Linked DNA regions of Pelodiscus sinensis. The protein of the gene in region 2 interacts with the protein of the main gene of each other region in a biochemical or structural test. Links are inferred from orthologs where the notes say so. Each region holds a gene or a part of one and is shown on either strand. Other genes may lie near its edges.

Region 1 (3,747 bases), on a different chromosome or scaffold from region 2:
GATATTTTGTGGCCAAGTGATGTTCTGTTTTAACAACAGGAGATTAGTACAGTATGTTGAGGTCTAAACAAACTCAACTTTACAGTTCTGTCCCTTTAAATATTTTCCTATTCCATAGGGAGCGTTTTGTATGAAATATATTATTCAATTAAAGTTACCCAACAGACCAGGAGAACCTAAAAAAAAAAAAATCAGATTATATGATATGGTAAGAGTATTCTGAACTTACCTGGTCTTTCTATTTTGGCTTTTCCAATAGGAACAAGGAAGTCCTTTGACTGAGCTTCTTCTGACATTTCAAAAGGGACTCCATACATCAATTCATTTTCCAGCATCACAACTGAAAAAAGCATTGAGTGCTTATTTTGATGCACTTCTCCAGATGAAAGTATTATTACAACATCATCCGACCTCTCCTCCCTACCCTACTCTTTCCCCTTCCCCAATTCCTAGTGTGTTAGAGGGCACCGCTATACAAAGCTCCTCGTGGCTCACAAGGCAAACAATAAAACCATAGGTTAGCACATTTGTATCCGCGTGAAAAAGATGATTAACTTGAGCAGCTAGTAGCTCAGCACTGTTTTACAAGTTTACCCGAATGATCTTGTTAAGGTTAATTTTACCATGTTAAGCAATTAATATTTGGTGATCCAACACCAGTCAGTCCTATTATTGGTGTGGGGAAGGATCAAAAGGATGAGGTCCTTAAGGCAATACAGCATGTTCTACCTGGCTCCTATTACAAAAACAAAACATCCAGACCCCCCTCCTCTTGCTCTAAATTGAATATTAACAAGAGGAAGTAAAGTCAGGAGTTTATGCAAGATTTCTCCCTTGAAGTTCATGAAGTCTCCATAAAAGTCAAAATGACTTGTAAAGATTTTTGAAAAGGACTTTGGTATAAAAACTCTCAGTAATACTGAAGCTCATCTATTTAGGAGACACAACCTTCTCAGGGGGTCAGTCCAACAGAGTGGAAGGAACTCCACCAGGAACAAAAGTCTATCACAAGCCTTGCCACTTTCTGCTCCAAGTGCAAGGTACATTTCTATTACATATAAAAGAAAAAGCAAAGTCAAAGTTGTGGTACCAAACAAGACATTGCACAGCACCTACTTCTTCTAAGGAGAATCACCACCAAGTAAAATGTGCATAATCACATGTGCAACCATTAAAGCCACTGCATGAAGCAGAGTACCCCTTAAAATTCCCAAGTTCATTGTTGTGGCTAATGGGTAAAATAACTTTGACTTTTCAGCTCTATGAATGTAGATGCAATAAGACCACAGTATTTATTAAAAAGTTACATTCACCTGGATTGTCATCCCGGACTGATGCTTTTAGTAGGCCTTTAGCATCCTCTGAACTCCAAGGACTGACTACTTTCAGTCCAGGACAATGCCCATACCAAGCAGCAAAGCATTGAGAGTGTTGTGCTCCTACTCCAGCAGAGGCACCATTGGGACCTCTGAAGACAACCGGGACAGGCACCATGCCTGCAGACATGTAAAGTGTCTTACTAGCAGAATTTATAACTTGATCAATTGCTTGCATGGAGAAGTTGAAGGTCATGAATTCACAGATCGGCCTCAACCCAGCCTGTTAAATTAAGACAGCTATGTTAGTAGTTAAGCATTTAATTCACTAGTAACAAACAGTAAAAGTGTCTGCATTTAACAGTTTTTCTGTGAAATTAATTAAGCCAAGAAAAAACTGATCAGACTTCAACACCAGAAAGGACTTACCATGGCAGCGCCTACCGCAATTCCTGTAAAGCCCATCTGCAAAGGAAAAAGCAAGGAGGGATGAGTATGACTGCCAGCCCCGGACAAGGGGATGAGGACACTCACTGGCACGGTACCTCGGATATGGGCGTGTCCATCACTCTCTTGTCCCCGTACTTCTTCCAGAGACCGCGGCTGATCTACGAGAAGCAAAGCAAAAACGGGCGGCTAAGCGCGCGCTCCCCAGCTGGCGGGGGGGGGGGGGGGAGCCGGAGCCCGCTCACCTTGTACGCGCCGTCGTACTGCGCCACCTCCTCGCCCAGCAGGAACACGCGCTCGTCCCGCTCCAGCTCCTCGTCCAGCGCCTGGTTCAGCGCGTCGCGCACCGTCACCTGTGGCACAGGGCACCCGCTGAGCGCCGCGCGCCTCCCAGCCCCACCCCCGCCTTGCCCCGCGAGCCCTCACCTGCGGCACAGGGCACGCGCTGAGCGCCGCGCGCCTCCCAGCCCCGCCCCCGCCCTGCCCCGCGAGCCCTCACCTGCGGCACAGGGCACACGCTGAGCGCCGCGCGCCTCCCAGCCCCGCCCCCGCCTGGCCCCACGAGCCGTCACCTGGGGCACAGGGCACGCGCTGAGCGGCCCCGCCCTGCCCCGCGAGCCCTCACCTGCAGCACAGGGCACGCGCTGAGCGCCGCGCGCCTCCCAGCCCCGCCCCCGCCTTGCCCCGCGAGCCCTCACCTGGGGCACAGGGCACGCGCTGAGCGCCGCGCGCCTCCCGGCCCCGCCTGGCCCCACGAGCCGTCACCTGGGCGCAGGGCACGCGCTGAGCGCCGCGCGCCTCCCGGCCCCGCCCCACCGCCCTGCCCGCGGCCCGTTACCTGCACGGCGGCCGGCGCGGAGCCGTGGATCCCGCTCCGCAGCTGCAGCAGGCGGCCCGGGCCCTGCGGAGAGACGGGACGCGCGTGAGCGCCGAGCAGCGAGGGGAGGGGAGGGGAGGGGAGGGGGGCCAGGCCGACCCTACCTGCTGCGGCGCCCGTCGCACTAGTCCCCTCAGCGCTCCTGCGGCCGCCGCCATCTTGCCTCTGCCCTCTGCCGGCCGGGCCCGTACGTCACTACGCAACGCCCGGGCTGTCCAATCGCAGCTGGGCCCACCCGCACACGGGGGCGGAGCCGCCCGCCGCTCTCGCGAGAGGGGCCGAAGGGCTGTCCTTGCCTCGCTGCCGCCCCTCAGTGGATTGAGCGCGTTCTGCGAAGCCGCGGGCCGAACGTCCGCCTGCCCTGCGAGTACGGCGACGCGCATGGACCAAAACTAGCAGGGGGCGCCATCCTTTACAACTTTGCCTTTCTGGAGGGCAGCATTCCAGGTCTGCAGCTGCTACTATCCGACCTTTCCCGCTGGTTTGGGGGGTTTCAGCCAGGTCGGTGCACGCACGAAGCTGGGCTGCAGTTGTTATTCTTGGCCACAAGTCTTGAGTCTTTTTTTTTTTTTGGTTAATAGGTCTCATGCATCCGGTTCCTTGGTGCAGGGGTCTGAAACTTAGCAGGTGGTTGCTGTAGTTTGGGGGACGTGCCTGTGAAAATCGGCCCAAATCTGCTCACATTATGAGCCTCTAGTTATGGTAGGGAAGGCAGGCTGAAAAAGAGGCCGTGGGACACCACACCCCCTTCACAGTTCTGCTGTTGTGTTGTGTCACAGTGTTTGGGTGTAATGTCATGCTGTGAAGTCACAATGCTAGCATGAACCCACATGAATGGGGTTTCCAGGCAGCACCTGGAGACTTGTGGCTCCCCCTGGGACTATCCTCTGCACAGCCAGGCTGTGTTTTCTGTGTCAAAGTGCCTGTGCTGCTTCACTGGTATGGTGTCTCCATGTGATGTAACCATGAAGGCCTCAGAACTCCTTGTGTCTATCTGCGAGTTAATGAGCTGGGATAGATCCATGGAAATGGAGTTAAATCTGTGTATCTGAAGCAGAGGTCAGACTGGAAAAATCAAGGCTGGTAACACTCTTCTATGATCTGCCC
Region 2 (3,747 bases):
GACACCGACAAATGTTAAGGAATAATTCACTGAGGATATGGATATGCTTTACCTGCATGTGAGGAGGGTAAGAGCTTCCTGGAGCCTGCACAGAAGGCTGAGCTGGTGTTGGGGGAGCTGCTGCTGGAGGGGGAGGCACTGAGGCTGCTGGGACAGCAGATGCTATGGAATCCAAGGTAAAATTCTTAAAGGCATCAATAAACTCAGGCCTAGAACAGGAATGAAAGAAGATAATACAGAAAAAAATTCTTCATCAAGAGCACCCAGCCTGCCAGGTTCCCAAAACAGTATTCTAGTGAGATGTGATCAATCCACTTACTTTTCAACTGTGATGCATATTACAGACCCAATGGGAACATCCCTTGTCCCTTCTGATACCAGGATCTTGGCCAAGTAACATTCTTCCATACTCTCAAACCCCACCGTCGCTTTGTCCGTTTCCACCTTTGCAGAAAGAGAATGATCTTGTAATGGGGCAGGGGCGGGGGGAGCCTTCACATCAGCTCAGAATCATGAAGTTTGATGTTTGTGGGTTAGAGGTGAAGATTCCTGGTGCATAAAGCCATGGTGAGAATTAGCTCATCTGGCAGCAGCAACTTGGTTGAAAAGGAAAAGACACTGTAGAGCAAATAAGGTTCAATCGCTCTCATAAGGAGGTAGAAACAGCAGGCAACGCGGAGAGGCAGTGGGGTTGTGGCTGTTTTTAATTCCTTCAATAAAAAGGCTTCAGAAGAATATTTTTATTATTTGTATTTCATTGTACCTAGGTGCCCCAGACATTGATCAAAACCCCACTGTGCCAGGTGCCATATATATATAAAAAAACCTAGAGAGTCCTTCCTTTCCCAACACAGGTGTCTGGGGTGAGGACTCTCTTTGGGTTTTGTATACGTATAACTTGTTTTATATAAGGTGCTTGTTTGAAAATTTAACAATTGGCTACTAGAAGCTGGCATTATGGGCTGATGAGAGGTGGGAGCCAAACTTACAATGCTGAATCAGAGATAAGAAGTAAGGATGAAGTCAGAACATTTACATCTGCTTGGGGTGACCTGAGACAAAATCCGGGGCATGTACTTAGTATGGGGGCAATTTTAGAAATGATAGCGTGTCTTGTCCTCTAGTGATGGTGTAGCTTCCCATCCCACCAGAAAGTGAGAGGCCCTAAGGGAGATCTCATCCACAAGAACTGTCCCTTGGTGCCAATGTTCCCTTAAAGCTTTTCCATCCACGTGCGGAATTTTTCTATCAATATGTGGAATAAAGTTTATGTACACCACGATATGTGGAAATGTGCACCACCAGTAGAAACAAAAAACCTAACTGTGGGCACTCTGCTAATCAGCTGGGAAGTACTGGAATCTCTCCTGAGCAGCTGCACAAGTGCACAGCTTACAGGGAACACTGCTTGGTGTCCCATAACTGGTCCTCCTGGTCGCGAGTAACCTCTCCACAGTACCTCTGCAATCAGATCTCCCTCGCTGATCTTTTCCCCTTCCTTCTTCTCCCACCGAGCGATAGTCCCCATCTGCATTGTAGGGGAAAGAGACGGCAAAGCCACCTGCAAAAGAACAACCCAGTCACAGTAAAATTACCATGTTTTACAAGCAGCCCTGAAACAACCTTCCACCAAGAAAGGTGAGAGGCCAGTTCATGCTCTCGTATCCAGAAACAATCAAGGTGTCAACCATAAAGTAACCATAAAGCTAATGCAACAATATTTATTCAGAGCCCTTCTTCCCAATATGCCTCATAACTGGGACAGACTCGCCGCACTCATCCCCTTGAGCGCTAAAGGGCAGCTAATGACGCGGTGCAAGGCAGGGGGACAAGGGCAAATCCCAGTATCGGGAGATCCATTCTCAGCGAGGGCAGATTACTGGGCTCTCAGCAAGCGGCTTCTAGGGTGATCGGGGTCACGCCCTGCTGGTTGGGGGGCCTAGGAAGAGTCGGACCCTGCTCCAAGGCCTGGCGGGCGAGTCTGTGGGGTGGGGGGGACGTTTCAGTGGGGGGGTGCAGTGGGGGTTCAGGGAGCAGCCGCAGGGTCGCGGAGGACACGAGCCCAGCGGGGGGGGGGAGCAAGGGGGTGACCCCGGCCGGGGGAGGCTGGGAGCGGCCCCCACAGCCCCGGGGGTTCGAGTCCCGGCCCCTCACCTTCTGGTGGGGCGGGAGGCTGCACCACCGCCGGGGGGCGGGGCGGGGCCAGGGCTCCCTCGGCGGCAGCAGCAGCCCCGCGGGCCCGGGCCCCGGTTCCAGGCTGCTCCGGCCCCGCGCGGGCCCCAGGCTGCCCCCGCTCAGGGCGCGGGCCCCCCGGCCCGGGCTCGCTCCCGCCCCGCCAGGCACCCGCCGCGGGGCCGCGCACGGGGCCAGGCGCCGCGCGATCACGCGCCACATGCTGCAGCGGAGCCGGGACCCGCCGGCAGCTCCGGCAATGACCTCGCTCCCCTCCGACTCCGGGCGCCCACCGCGCTTTACGGCAGCGACAGTGTCGCGAGGAGCCGCAAAGCGCAGAGGCCCTCCCCGTGCCAGCGTCCTGGGGAGTGAGAGGGGTGGAGGGAGGAGCTGGGGGCAGGCAGGGAGGGGGTGGAGGGAGGAGTAGGAGAGGTGGAGGGGGGCTGGGAGCAGGGGGGTGGAGTGAGGGGGTTGGGGGGAGGGAGTTGGAGGGGGACTGGGAGAAGGGGGGTGGAGGGAGGAGTAGGGGGTTGGGGGGAGGGAGTAGGAGAGGTGGAGGGGGGCTGGGAGAAGGGGGTGGAGTGAGGGGGTTGGGGGGAGGGAGTTGGAGGGGGACTGGGAGAAGGGGGGTGGAGGGAGGAGTAGGGGGTTGGGGGGAGGGAGTAGGAGGGTGGAAGGAGGGCTGGAGGGAGGTGGAGGGGGGCTGGGAGCAAAGGGTTTTGGTGGCAAGGTGGGGAGAAGATGGGGGATCAGTAGGGTCTGTGGAGTCTGGGGGGGTTATAGCGGGGGTGGAGGTGCAGTTTGGGGGAATAACTGGATAAAAGACAGCACAGAGATGGGGGGCATAGGATAGAACAAAGGATCTGATGCAGGGTAGGAGTAGGGAAAAATCACAGACACTTGGGGGGTCTCTTCTGTTCTATTCACTCCCATTGGTGCCAAGACCGCTCCGCAGTTGGGCACTGGGAAGGTGAAAGGTTACAGGAAGCTAAATACTGAACCCAGATGTGCTGATTCAGTGCATCCTTCTGCAGCTGTCAACCAAGTCCCTCCCTGGTCACCACCGTGCTGCCCCTGTGGGGAATGTAGCTCCTTTTATGATGCTTGTTTTATGACTCACAGGCAGATGCTGTGATTCTTGTATGTACTGATGAAGGAAAAATGCTACACATACTATGAACATGGTTGAGTTTAAACTCATGCAGACCCGCAGAATGCCCTAGGAGGGAGGGAGTTGTGAGATATAAAAGTCAGGTTTTGTCATCACTTGCCAGGTGAGGAACATGAGGTTGTTCCCTAGCTGGGAAGTTGGCTTTAGAGCACAATCAAACCTGTACGTCTGTTCTGCTTAGGCCCCCAGCAGCAGGCCACCAACTTCAGAAATAGTGCCAGGTTGGTCTCAAGCACAGGTTTTAGCATCAAGGTCTTAATTTTTATTATTCAGGGTGTCTCTGCCTCAGTTTCCCCGTTGGTTAAATGTTCCAATCCTTCAGCTACCCTTAGGGCATGTCTCCGCTGGGGAGTTATTTTGAAATAACTCCCCTTATTTCGAAATAAGGTATTCGAAATAATGGG
Region 3 (3,747 bases), on a different chromosome or scaffold from region 2:
CAGGCTCCCTCTGAGAATCAAACCAGGACCCCCCATTACTCGCGGCAGGCCAGAGGTACCATCAGACGGCAGCGTTCCCCGTAAGCTGGGCGCTTGTGCGGCCGCTCAAGAGAGGTTCAAACGCCGCCCAGTTGCTTAGCTGTGGGCGCTCGGCCGGGTTTTCATTGCTGCTGGCGGTGCACGTGCACATGCCCCCGTGCGCATCCTGTCCACAGATGGCAAACATGCACTAGGGATGTGGAATCAAATCAATTAACCGGCGAAGCCTACGGTTTAACCAGTTAACTGATGAAGCGGGATCCCACTCCCCCGAAGTGGGGCCGGCTTCTGTTCCCAGCACCCACCCCACACAAAGCTCTGCTGCTGGTGCCGCCCCCTCTCCCCACCTGGGGCAGCTGGCTCCTGACCCCACAGGACTGCACCAGCCCTCCGCCCGCTGTGAGCTGCTGCCAGACAGAGGTTACAGTCCCCAGTAAGCACCACTGACCTGGCTCCCTGGTCGCATCCCCCATCTGCACCTGGATGGGGGAGACGAGAGGGAAACTGCCGGCAGGTAGGGCAGGTGTCTGCCGCGGGGGCTAGGTGCGCTAGCGCTACAGGGCTGGGGCAGCACAGAGGTGACCCCAGAGAGCAGCGCCTGGCACACGTGGTACGTGCAGCATTCCGCACACGCAGTGCAGAAGCGTCGCTGTGCGTTCCTGAGCTCTGACGTCCTGTCCTTGGCTAAATACAGCACAGCCTGCTTGCGAGAGATCTGTCCCAACACTGGCAGCAGCTCCACGTTCTGCAAGGAACCCAGCCAACAAAACCGCCCCCTGGCCGGTCAAGGTCAGGGCCATGGGCCCCAATCTCCAGGCGGGTCTGGAGGAGGAAAACAATAGGGCGCGATGATCAGAGTCAGAGCAGAGGGCTCTAAGGAGACAGGTGGGAGGCTGGTAAACAAGGCCACAGCTGTGCACCCAACCGTGCAGCCGTAACCCGAGCCACGGCACGTTCCCAGCTGACCACCGGCACAGCCTGTTCCGCGGGCACCGGGTGCCGCTGCAGTGAGACCGGCCGGGAAGGAGAGGAGCGTGCACACCGCGCAGCATGCGTCGGCAGGCGGCCATGCAGCGCGAGCCAGCCAGGCACGGCCGGGGCCTTCTGCTTCCATTGCTGCCCAAAAGAGAAGTCGAGCGAAATGGGCACCAGGGACACTTAGTGGTGGGGGGCTGGGAGCCGCCTCCAGGCTGCAGGAGCCGTGAATGGTTCTAAGAGGCGACAAAGGGCACTGGACACAGTATGAGCACGCCCCCACTGCCAGCACACGCTCAGTCTCACTAACCCCATGCAATGGTGGGGGAAATTGAGGCACGGAGCTGAGAAGGGAGTCAGCAGCAGGGCCAGGAACAGGGCCCAGGAGCCCCATTCTAGCTAGCAGGCTGGGAAGTGCCCGGGAGAGGGGGGCGTTCTACCCCCATCCCAAAGGGATGTGCTCCCGCAAGAGCCGCCCCCCAGCCCCGACCCACTGAGTCGGGGGGGCTCATCCACCTCCCGCAAGAGCCACCCCCCAGCCCCGACCCACTGAGTCGGGGGGGCTCATCCACCTCCCGCAAGAGCCGCCCCCCAGCCCCGACCCACTGAGTCGGGGGGGCTCATCCACCTCCCGCAAGAGCCGCCCCCCAGCCCCGACCCACTGAGTCGGGGGCTCATCCACCTCCCGCAAGAGCCGCCCCCCAGCCCCGACCCACTGAGTCGGGGGGCTCATCCACCTCCCACAAGAGCCGCCCCCCAGCCCCGACCCACTGAGTCGGGGGCTCATCCACCTCCCGCAAGAGCCGCCCCCCAGCCCCGACCCACTGAGTCGGGGGGGCTCATCCACCTCCCGCAAGAGCCGCCCCCCAGCCCCGACCCACTGAGTCGGGGGCTCATCCACCTCCCGAAAGAGCCTCCCCCCAGCCCCAACCCACTGAGTCGGGGGGCTCATCCACCTCCCGCAAGAGCCGCCCCCCAGCCCCGACCCACTGAGTCGGGGGCTCATCCACCTCCCGAAAGAGCCGCCCCCCAGCCCCGACCCACTGAGTCGGGGGGGCTCATCCACCTCCCGCAAGAGCCGCCCCCCAGCCCCGACCCCTTACCCAGGGGGCAGCCTGCCCCACCTGTCTGAGCCCCCAGGACTCAGACCCCAGTCGGGCCACTCGACAGGCCCACCCACCCCACGGGCCCTTCGGGGCTACCCGGCTGGGGGCGGGGCCCTGGGGTATTTTCTTGGGGGTGGGGGCAGATATGGAGAGGGGGCAGGCGGGGCGATTAGTGGAGTTAAGGGGCGTCGTTACCTGGGGGTGGGGTTGGGGGCACATACCCGAGGGGCGGGGCGGAGAGCGGGGGGCGGGGCGCAGAGCGGGGGGCGGGGCGGTCCCGCGGCGGGGGGCGGGGCGCAGGGCGGGGGGCGGGGCGGTCCCGCGGCGGGGGGCGGGGCGCAGGGCGGGGGGCGGGGCGGTCCCGCGGCGGGGGGCGGGGCGGTCCCGCGGCGGGGGGCGGGGCGCAGAGCGGGGGGCGGGGCGGTCCCGCGGCGGGGGGCGGGGCGCAGGGCGGGGGGCGGGGCGGTCCCGCGGCGGGGGGCGGGGCGCAGGGCGGGGGGCGGGGCGGTCCCGCGGCGGGGGGCGGGGCGCAGAGCGGGGGGCGGTCCCGCGGCGGGGGGCGGGGCGGTCCCGGGGCGGGGCGCAGAGCGGGGGGCGGTCCCGCGGCGGGGGGCGGGGCGGTCCCGCGGCGGGGGGCGGGGCGTACCGAAGTCCAGGAACTGCTGGATGGAGAGCGGCGAGGGCGAGAACTTGCTGAAGCGATCGATGTAGGCCCGCGCCGCGCGCCCCAGCAGCGCCCGCAGCAGCCGCATCGCGCCGCGCTCCCACCGACTGACAGCTCGCCCCGCCCCCGGCCCCGCCCCGCCAATGGCAGCGCGCCGGCCCACGTGCCCCGCGCCCGCCCCGCCCCCTCCCTTAGCCCCGCCCCTCACGCTGCCTGCCCGCCCCGCCCCTTGCTCCCCGCGGCCGTAGCGGGGAAGGGCCCTGATCTCGGGGCGTCCGGAGCAGCCTCCCCCCAGCCTGACTGTCCGTGTGTGTGTGTGTGTGTGTGTGTGTGTGTGTGTGGGTCTGGGTGTGTGTGTGTGTGTGTGTGTGTGTGGGTCTGGGTGCGTGTATCTGTCTGGGTGTGTGTGTCTGGGTGTGTGTGTGTGTGTGTGTATCTGTCTGGGTGTGTGTGTGTGTGTGTGTGTCTGTCTGGGTCTGGGTGTGTGTGTGTGTGTCTGGGTGCGTGTATCTGTCCGTGTGTGTGTGTGTGTGTGTGTCTGTCTGGGTCTGGGTGTGTGTGTGTGTCTGTGTGTGTGTGTCTGGGTGCGTGTATCTGTCTGTGTGTGTGTGTCTGGGTGTGTGTGTGTGTGTGTGTGTGTGTGTCTGTGTGTGTGTCTGGGTGCGTGTATCTGTCTGGGTGTGTGTGTGTGTGTCTGTGTGTGTGTGTCTGGGTGCGTGTGTCTGTCTGTGTGTGTGTCTGGGTGTGTGTGTGTGTGTGTGTGTCTGTGTGTGTGTCTGGGTGCGTGTATCTGTCTGGGTGTGTGTGTGTGTCTGTGTGTATCTGTGTGTGTATGTCTGTGTGTGTGTGTGTATCTGTGTGCGTGTGTCTGTCTGTGTGTGTGCATCTGTGTGTGTGTCTGCGTGTGTCTGTGTGTGTCTGTGTGTGTGTGTCTGGGTGTGTGTGTCTGTGTGTGTGTGTCTG

Evidence for each region.
Region 1: the proteins of DLAT (region 2) and PDHB form a complex in vitro, tested with the Homo sapiens proteins (2 studies listed by BioGRID and IntAct, with this or other methods). The link is inferred for Pelodiscus sinensis from reciprocal best matches to the Homo sapiens genes DLAT and PDHB.
Region 3: the proteins of DLAT (region 2) and PDK2 form a complex in vitro, tested with the Homo sapiens proteins (2 studies listed by BioGRID). The link is inferred for Pelodiscus sinensis from reciprocal best matches to the Homo sapiens genes DLAT and PDK2.

Annotation. Positions count from the first base shown.
Region 1 is NC_134721.1:460,919-464,665, forward strand, and holds the start of PDHB (pyruvate dehydrogenase E1 component subunit beta, mitochondrial), read right to left. Parts: upstream 2,948-3,747; 5' UTR 2,799-2,947; coding exon 2,745-2,798; intron 2,665-2,744; coding exon 2,555-2,664; intron 2,203-2,554; coding exon 2,190-2,202; intron 2,117-2,189; coding exon 2,009-2,116; intron 1,925-2,008; coding exon 1,862-1,924; intron 1,782-1,861; coding exon 1,746-1,781; intron 1,600-1,745; coding exon 1,314-1,599; intron 341-1,313; coding exon 230-340; intron 1-229. UniProt on the Homo sapiens protein: The pyruvate dehydrogenase complex catalyzes the overall conversion of pyruvate to acetyl-CoA and CO(2), and thereby links the glycolytic pathway to the tricarboxylic cycle.
Region 2 is NC_134736.1:6,916,943-6,920,689, reverse strand, and holds the start of DLAT (dihydrolipoyllysine-residue acetyltransferase component of pyruvate dehydrogenase complex, mitochondrial), read right to left. Parts: upstream 2,474-3,747; 5' UTR 2,395-2,473; coding exon 2,155-2,394; intron 1,562-2,154; coding exon 1,460-1,561; intron 445-1,459; coding exon 320-444; intron 210-319; coding exon 53-209; intron 1-52.
Region 3 is NC_134739.1:15,279,345-15,283,091, reverse strand, and holds the start of PDK2 (pyruvate dehydrogenase kinase, isozyme 2), read right to left. Parts: upstream 2,926-3,747; 5' UTR 2,873-2,925; coding exon 2,767-2,872; intron 1-2,766. UniProt on the Homo sapiens protein: Kinase that plays a key role in the regulation of glucose and fatty acid metabolism and homeostasis via phosphorylation of the pyruvate dehydrogenase subunits PDHA1 and PDHA2.